Macaca fascicularis: one gene and its partner. The main gene of each other region encodes a partner of the protein of the gene in region 2 in a complex. Links are inferred from orthologs where the notes say so. Each region holds a gene or a part of one and is shown on either strand. Other genes may lie near its edges.

What was found.
Region 1: SNRPD2 (region 2) and USP39 share a complex: the UniProt entries of both Homo sapiens proteins name them as parts of the U4/U6-U5 tri-snRNP complex. The link is inferred for Macaca fascicularis from reciprocal best matches to the Homo sapiens genes SNRPD2 and USP39.

Annotation. Positions count from the first base shown.
Region 1 is NC_088387.1:35,970,555-35,974,536, reverse strand, and holds the start of USP39 (ubiquitin carboxyl-terminal hydrolase 39), read left to right. Parts: upstream 1-1,175; 5' UTR 1,176-1,207; coding exon 1,208-1,475; intron 1,476-3,982.
Region 2 is NC_088393.1:53,756,350-53,760,574, reverse strand, and holds the start of SNRPD2 (small nuclear ribonucleoprotein Sm D2), read left to right. Parts: upstream 1-1,409; 5' UTR 1,410-1,462; coding exon 1,463-1,464; exon of another isoform or gene 1,465-2,196; intron 2,197-4,225. Other genes in the region: QPCTL (glutaminyl-peptide cyclotransferase-like protein), read right to left, coding at 442-648. UniProt on the Homo sapiens protein: Plays a role in pre-mRNA splicing as a core component of the spliceosomal U1, U2, U4 and U5 small nuclear ribonucleoproteins (snRNPs), the building blocks of the spliceosome.

The sequences.
Region 1 (3,982 bases), on a different chromosome or scaffold from region 2:
GCTGTGTTGTGTTGTATTGTATTCTAAGATGGAGTTTCACTCTTGTTGCCCAGGCTGGAGTGCAATGGCGCGATCTCGGCTCACTGCAACCTCCACCTCCCGGGTTCAAGCGATTCTCCTGCCTCAGCCTCCTGAGTAGCTGGGATAACAGGCTCGTGCCACCGCAGCTAATTTCTGTATTTTTAGTAGAGACGGGGTTTCGCCATGTTGACCAGGCTGGTCTCGAATCCTGACTCAGGTGATCCGCCCGCCTCTGCCTCCCAAAGTGCTGGAATTACAGGCGTGAGCCACAGCGCCTGGCCTAAATTCCACACTTTAAACATGTAGTTTGTTGTATGTCAATTATACCTCAATGGAACAGTTCAAACAAGCAAACAAGTTCAAGGCAGGTCCTGAGGTTAGAGCTTTATTAGCTTCATGGTAAATCCGCTCCTACCGGGCATTTGCGTTTTCATGGTACCAAGAACCCTCTTAACAGTAGAATTAGGGCCGTCAAGGGGATGATTTGGGAATGTTGCCTAGTTTTCCTGCGCAGGATTGTCAGCCTCCAAGCCGCGGAGACTGTGGGAAACGACCTCGCGATGGTGGTTTCGAGGCACAAATCTGGGGCCGAATGACAGCTTCTTTTTCTTTTATTTTATTATTTCATTTTGAGACGGAGTTTCGCTCTTGTTGCCTAGGCTGGAGTGCAATGGCGCGATCTTGGCTCACTGCAACCTTCGCCTCCGCCTCCCGGGTTCAAGCGATTCTCCTGCCTCAGCCTCCCAAGTAGCTGGGATTACAGGCATGCGCCACAACGTCTGGCTAATTTTGTATTTTTTAGTAGAGATGTTGTTTCTCCATGTTGGTCATGCTGGTCTTGAACTCCCGACCTCAGGTGATCCACCCGCCTCGGCCTCCCAAAGTGCTGGGATTACAGGCGTGAGCCACCGCGCCCGGCCTGACAACTTTTATCCAGAAAACTGTCGCCAGTAAAGGTTCCTGTGTCAGTAAACTGTAAACGACGGTAGGCCCACAGAAGGTTCTCAGGGGCGGGGAAACCGCTACAGGAACAGCACCGCCCACAAATTTCCTGCAGCGTGATTTGTCCCCAGTGGCGACTCGTAGAGCGTTCGGTGCTCCCTACCAGCCCCTCTCCTGATTGGCCGTGTGCCGCGCGCTCGAGCGTGCCTGGCGCCTGCGCTGGAAGACTCTGCCGATAGTGGCTATGTCCGGCAGGTCTAAGCGGGAGTCTCGCGGTTCCACCCGCGGGAAGCGAGAGTCCGAGTCGCGGGGCAGCTCCGGTCGCGTCAAGCGGGAGCGAGATCGGGAGCGGGAGCCTGAGGCGGCAAGCTCCCGGGGCAGCCCTGTGCGCGTGAAGCGAGAGGTCGAGCCGGCGAGCGTGCGCGAGGCCCAGGCTTCTGTTGTCCCGTTTGTGCGGGTGAAGCGGGAGCGCGAGGTCGATGAGGACTCGGAGCCTGAGCGGGAGGTGCGAGGTGCGCGGGGCCGGGCCGGGCTAGGCGCGAGAGCCTCTTTTTTTCGCGTTCTTTTTTCTTGTCTCTCTAATCTTCCGCCAGGTCCCTGCGCCGCGTTTGGCGGGGGAGGGGTGGGGTTGGCGGGGCAGGGGTGGGGTTTGGGTGGGAGAAGAGGAGGGAACCAGACTCTATGGTTCTGCTGTTCGACTTGTTCTGAAGAAGACAGTATTCATCTCAACCGTATATTATTTATTTTTCTATTTTTCTTTTCTTTTCTTTTTTTTTTTTTTGAGGTGGAGTCTCACTGTGTCACCCAGGATGGAGTGCAGTGGCGCGATCTCGGCTCCTGCAACCTCTGCCTCCCGGGTTCGAACGATTATGCTACCTCAGCCTCCCAAATAGCTGGGATTACAGGCGCCCGACACCACGCCTGGCCAATTTTTTGTATTTTTAGTAGAGAAGGGGTTTCACCGTGTTAGCCAGGATGGTCTTGATCTCCTGACCTCGTGATCCTCCCGCCTCGGCCTCCCAAAGTACTGGGATTACAGGCGTGAGCCACCGTGCCTGGCCAACCGTATGGTATTTCTAACTATAACAGTCATAACAATAGCAGTTTCCCTTCATCGAATGCCTGATGTGGGGGCTCAGTGCTGATTTTACAAGTGTTACTTCCTTCCATTTTAAAAAAGAATTTTTTTTTTTTCTTTTTAAAATAGAAGCAAGTCTTGTTATGTTGCCTAGGCTGGTCTCGAACTCCTGGGCTCAAGTTTTCCACTCGCCTCGGCCTCCCAAAGTGCTGGGATTACAGGCGTGAGCCACTGTGCACGGCTTTCCTTCAGTTTTTACAAAACCTCTAAGGTCTTGTAATTTCTGTAATCAAGATATTCAGAATGCCTGAGCAATAGGCACCTGCTCTAAAATATGAATTATGTAGCGCTTTTTAAGCTGAATAAAGTCTGGAGACAATTCTCCATTAGTCTCTTGAGTTTGTGCACATACTGCGATCATTGCCTGACTGCCTTTGCTCCTAGACTCTCCTTAAGGATGTTCGTGTAGTGGGCAGCCTTGGAAGATAGCAGTGGTGTCTCCCTACAAAACAAGGAGGAGACAAGGGCACAATCCATTATAAAAGATTTGGAGCAGGGTGTGGTGGCTCACACTTGTAATCGCAGCTACTCTATAGGATGAGGTGGAGTTCAAGACTAGGATAGGCAACAGAGTGAGACCTCGTTTAAAAAAATGGTTAATGGTTCAGATTCTCTAAGCTCAGGGTTACTCTCCTGTAAGGCAACTCACTGTGTGCATGGGTTCTCCTCACTTTGCCTTGTAGAAATTCACTTGGGAAACTGATATCAAGGCTATATTCTGGCTACTGTCATTGCTGTAATAAATTGCCCTTCATTTCAGGCCAGGTAGTGACATGCTTTCCATCAGCATTTGTAAAACTGTGACAGGCTAACTTGTTAGCTTGCAAGTAGGGTAAGATCTGAGACCCCCTTAAGTTTTTGACAAGTGGTAGATTTATAGATACACATGTACATTCTTCTTTTTTTTTTTTTTGAGACAGTTTCACTCTTGTTGTCCAGGCTGGAGTGCAATGGCACGATTTCAGCTCACTGCAACCTCCGCCTCCCGGGTTCAAGCGATTCTCCTGTCTCAGCCTCCCAAGCAGCTGGGATTACAGGCGCATGCCACCACACCTGGCTAATTTTTGTATTTTTAGTAGAAACGGAGTTTCATTATATTAGTCAGGCTGGCCTCGAACTCCTGACCTCAGGTGAGCTGCCTGCATCTGCCTCCCAGAGTGCTGGGATTACAGGCATGAGCCACCCACCCCAGCCACTCTTTAAACTATGTAGTACATTGGTGACTGGGCTCGGTGGCTCACACCTGTAATCCCAGCACTTTGGGAGGCTGAGGCAGGTGGATCACGAGGTCAGGAGTTTGAGACCAGCCTGGCCAACATGTTGAAACCCCATCTCTTCTAAAAGCATGAAAATTAGCTGGATGTGGTGGCATGCACCTGTAGTCCCAGCTACTCGGGAGGCTGAGGCAGGAGAATTGCTTGAATCTGGGAGGTGGAGGTTGCCGTGAGCCGAGATCGCGCCATTGCACTCTAGCCTGGGTGACAGAGCGAGACTCTGTCTCAAAAAACAAAACAAAACAAAACAAATACACAACTATATAGTAGTACATTTGTATTACAAGTAGTTTATTTTAGTGCTTGTGACATTTCATATTTTTCATGCTTTATGGGATTTCTTTATGTAAAATGCAAACAGATCTTGTGTTGATTTTATGTATACCAAATGTATTCTCCTAGTTTGTGGCTTGTTCTATTAGTGGACTTTTTTCGTTTCTTTTTTTTTGAGACAGAGTTTTGCTCGTCCCCAGGCTGGAGTGCAGTGGCGTGATCTCGGCCCCCTGCAACCTCCTTCTCCCAGGTTCAAGCGATTCTCCTGCCTCAACCCCCCAAGTAGCTGGGATTACAGGCGCCCACCACCATGCCTGGCTAATTTTTGTATTTT
Region 2 (4,225 bases):
CCCCGGGCGCCGTCACCCACAAGCAGCCCCGGGTCCTCTTTCTAATTTGCGGCCTCCAGCATCGGAGACTTCTAGGATAAATCCAAGGCTCAGAAAAAGTCCTTCCAAGACCATCCGGTCCAGCCTACCTCAAACTTGATGGGGAAATCGAGGCCCAGTGAGAGAGAGGGGAGATGGAGGAAGGGACTCTTCCAAATAGTTGACTAAAGGCGTAGAACCCTGAACCCCCTCGTCTTACTATTTCAGACCTTTCCTCATAAAAGGAAGCTACTGTTGTAAAACCAGCCCGAAGCCTTATTCCTTTGGTAAGGGTCATGCGCTCAGATGACGAAGACTGTGGCATCTGCGGTTAGGGCCGTACGCTAAAGCCAAGTCAACCCTGGGTAACAGCGGGGAGGGAATGAGGGTCCCCGCGGTGCCCGGGTCCCCGCCCAGCCTCACCCGCAGCTCCCGGCCCAGCGGCAGCTCCTCAGTCCTGCGGTGCCAGCCGCTCCAAATGGTGTAGAACGCCGAGCCCACGGCCAGCGCCAGCAACAGGGGCAAGAGCCGAACCCGCGGTAGCAGGCGGCGCTTCGGGGGCAAGAGTGGCTCCATAACGCCACGTTCCCCTAGCCGCAGGCGGGGCCGCCCGCGGCCCCCGGAACGCATGGCAGCTATGCCCTGAAACCTGTACCAGACCACGATTGAGTTTAGGCCCAGCCAAGTTCCACCCCATGGAATCAGTGGGCCAATAAGCAACAGCAGCGGCTGCACCTGCCCACCCCACAGCGAGCAGCGAAACCAATAAGAGCTACGGTCCTGAGGACACGCCTCCCGGCCTCCCTTGGGTATTGGGGTTGGTTCTTCTGAGAATGGCACGACCCAAAAGGGAGCGCAAAAGAGATAGGCTCCGCCTTAGCGGAGGGGGAAAGCCAATGAGCAGCGTTTGATCGTGGAAAATATTCAATCTCTCGGGCGCAGGTCCATGCCCCTCCCGGATGTAGGCAGGGGATTGGTGGCGCAGGGTCGGAAAGATCAGTAGATACGTCAATAACCCGTCCCAGAGGGAAGAGGGGCGGTGCCTGTCTCCGAAGCGAGGAGCGGATTGGCTTCAGCGGAGGCCGCGCCCCCGAAGTCACGGCCGGCGGGCATTTGGAAATAGTTTGTCATTTCCCTCCTTAAACCTGTACCATTCTTAAACGAAACGGTTTGAATCAGACCGCCTTTCCTTTTGTCTTCATTGTCATAAACATCTGCCCCGTGTGGTTCTGACTGGCCTCGAACCCCTATCCGAGGCTTTTATTCTTTCATTGTGCACCGTTGGTGGGCAATGCTATGGCAACAGGCCACGCCTCCACTTACTGGTTGGCTTTGCGCAGGCGCCAACGGAAGTGGGTCGCAGGAAGAGGAAGTCCCGCCTCTCTCGCCTCAGGCTGCAGCAACGCGGAGGAAACGGGAGTGAACGGAGAGCTTAGTGACCATCATGTGAGGCCGGGCTAGGCTTAGGCGGCGGGAAGGAGGTTGAGGGTGGAAATTTTGACCGATTGAGGGTGGGAAGGGTTGAGCAGAGAGCGGGGTGGGGGACAGGGGCAGATGTTTTAGGGATGGAGCGTCCTGCGTTTCTCCTGATGAGTTTGAGAACGGGCGTGGGGCCTTTGACGCATCGTGACTTCGGGAGAGGGGACAGCTTTATCAGATAACGCGCTGGGCTGGGCGCGGGGACTCATGCCTGTGATCCCAGCATTTTAGTAGGCCAAGGCGGGAGCATCGCTAGAACACAGGAGTTTCGAGACTACTCTAGGCAACATAGCGAGACCCCCGTCTCTACAAAAAAAATTTTTTTTAATTATGAAAAACATATTTTAAACGATAACGGAGGGGGGTCCTAGATAATTAGTCCTATTGAAGTGAATGTTAAGGGGCAGCGATTTTACGAATACTGGGGGAGGCCGGGCGCGGTGGCTCAGGTTTGTAAATCCCAGCACTTTGGGAGGCCGAGGCGGGCAGATCACCTGAGGTCAGGAGTTTGAGACCAGCCTGGCCATTGTGGTGAAACCCCGTGTCTACCAAAAATACAAAAATTAGCCAGACGTAGTGTCGGGCCCCTGTAATTCCAGCTACTTGGAAGGCTGAGGCCGGAGAATCGCTTGAACCCGGTAGACGGAGGTTGCAGTGAGCCGAGATTGCACCACTGCACACTTCCAGCCTGAGCGAAGAGTAAGACTCCATCTCAAAACGAAACAAAAGAAATCAAAACGAATACTGGGGAAGGGAAGTTAGGACTTTTAGAAATAATGATTTGAAATAAGGGACTTCTCCTGATCATTTGAGCTGGAGACAGATGCGTTTTCGACCTAATTCACAACTTAAAGGGATAACGAGTGATTGGCATGATTTTGCTCATTTATTAGTGCACCAAATATTACATTGAATGTTTATGTATCAGACACTGCTTAAGCCACATAGGATACATCAGTGAATGAAACCTTTTGTTCCCAAGGAAAAAAAAAATCTTTTTTTTTTTTTTTTTTTCCCGAGACATAGCCTTGCTCTGTTGCTCAGGCTGGAGTGCAATGGTGCGATCTCAGCTCACTGCAACCTCTGCCTCCCGAGTTGAAGCAATTCTCCTGCCTCAGCCTCCCGAGTTGCTAGGATTACAGGCACCAACCACCATGCCCAGCTGACTTTTATATTTTTAGTAGAGACCAGATTTCGCCATGTTGGCCAACCTGGTCTCAAACTCCTGACCTCGAATGATCCACCTGCCTCGACCTTCCAAAGTGCTGGCATTACAGGCGTGAGCCACCGTGCCTGGCCGGGCGTGAGCCACCATGCCTGGCCGGGGTTTTACTTTCTACACTGAGATGGCGGGGGGGCATGGGAGGATTTTCTTTTGTTTGTTTGAGATGGAATCTCGCTCTGTCACCCAGATTGGAGTGTAGTAGCACGATCTCTGTCTCCTGGGTTCAAGTGATCTTCTTGCCTCAGCCTCCCAAGTAGCTAGGATTACAAGCATGCGCCACCATGCCCAGCTACTTTTTTTTTTGGGGTGGGGGATGGAGTCTTACTCTGTAACCCAAGCTGGAGTGCAGTGGTGTAATCTTGGCTCACTGCAACCTTCGCTGCTGGGGCTCCAGCGATTCTCCTGCGTCATCCTCCTAAGTAGCTGGGACTAGAGGCATGCGCCATCACACCTCGTTAATTTTTTTGTATTTTTAGTAGAGACAGGGTTTCACCATGTTGCCCTGGGTGGTCTGGAACTCCTGAGCTCAGGCGATCCACCCCCCTTGGCCTCCCAAAGTGCTGGGATTACAGGCGTGAGCCATCACACGCAGCCTAATTTTTGTATTTTCTAATTTGTATTTATTTATTTTTTGAGACAGAGTCTCGCTCTGTCGCCCAGGCTGGAGTGCAGTGGCATGATCTCGCTTCACTGCACTCTCCGACTCCTGAGCTCAAGCGATTCTTCTGCCAGAACCTACCAAGTAGCTGAGATTACAGGCGTGCACCACCACGCCTGGCTAATTTTTTGTTGTTGTTTTTGTTTTGTTTGTATTTTTAGTAGAGATGGGTTTTCACCGTGTTGGCCAGGCTGGTCTCGAACTCCTGATGTCAAGTGATCCACCCGCCTTGTGAATCATCACCAGCTGGATGCCTAACAGACATTTTCTTTTCTTTTCTTTTCTTTTTTTTTTTTTTTTTTTTTGAGACGGAGTCTTGCTCTGTTGCCAGGGTGGAGTGCAGTGGCGCGATCTCAGCTCACCGCAACCTCTGCACCACAAAAGTGCTAGGATTACAGGCATGAGCTACCGTACCCAGCCCCTGGGAGGGCTTTGAAGAGTGACATGTTATGATTTAGGTTTTAGCACAGCCCCCTCAGACCACTCTGTGGAGAACAGACTGTCAGGGAACATGGGTGGAGGCAGAGAGACCGGAAAGATTCCAGGTCAGAGATGACAGAGGCTGAGGCCATGGTAAGAAATGGCCACTTCCTACAGATTTATTGTAGGATGCAAGGGAAAAAGAGGAATCAAGTTGACAAAGAGTTTTTGCCCAGAGAACTAGAAGGCAGATGGGGAACACTGTGGATAGGGTAGGCTTCGGTGGTTGGGTGATCTGGACCCCGACCTGAGACATGCAGAGTTGAAAATGTCTGGCTGAGCGCGGTGGCTCACACCTGTAATCTCAGCACTTCGGGAGGTCGAGGCGGGTGGATCACGAGGTCAGGAAATCAAGACCATCCTGG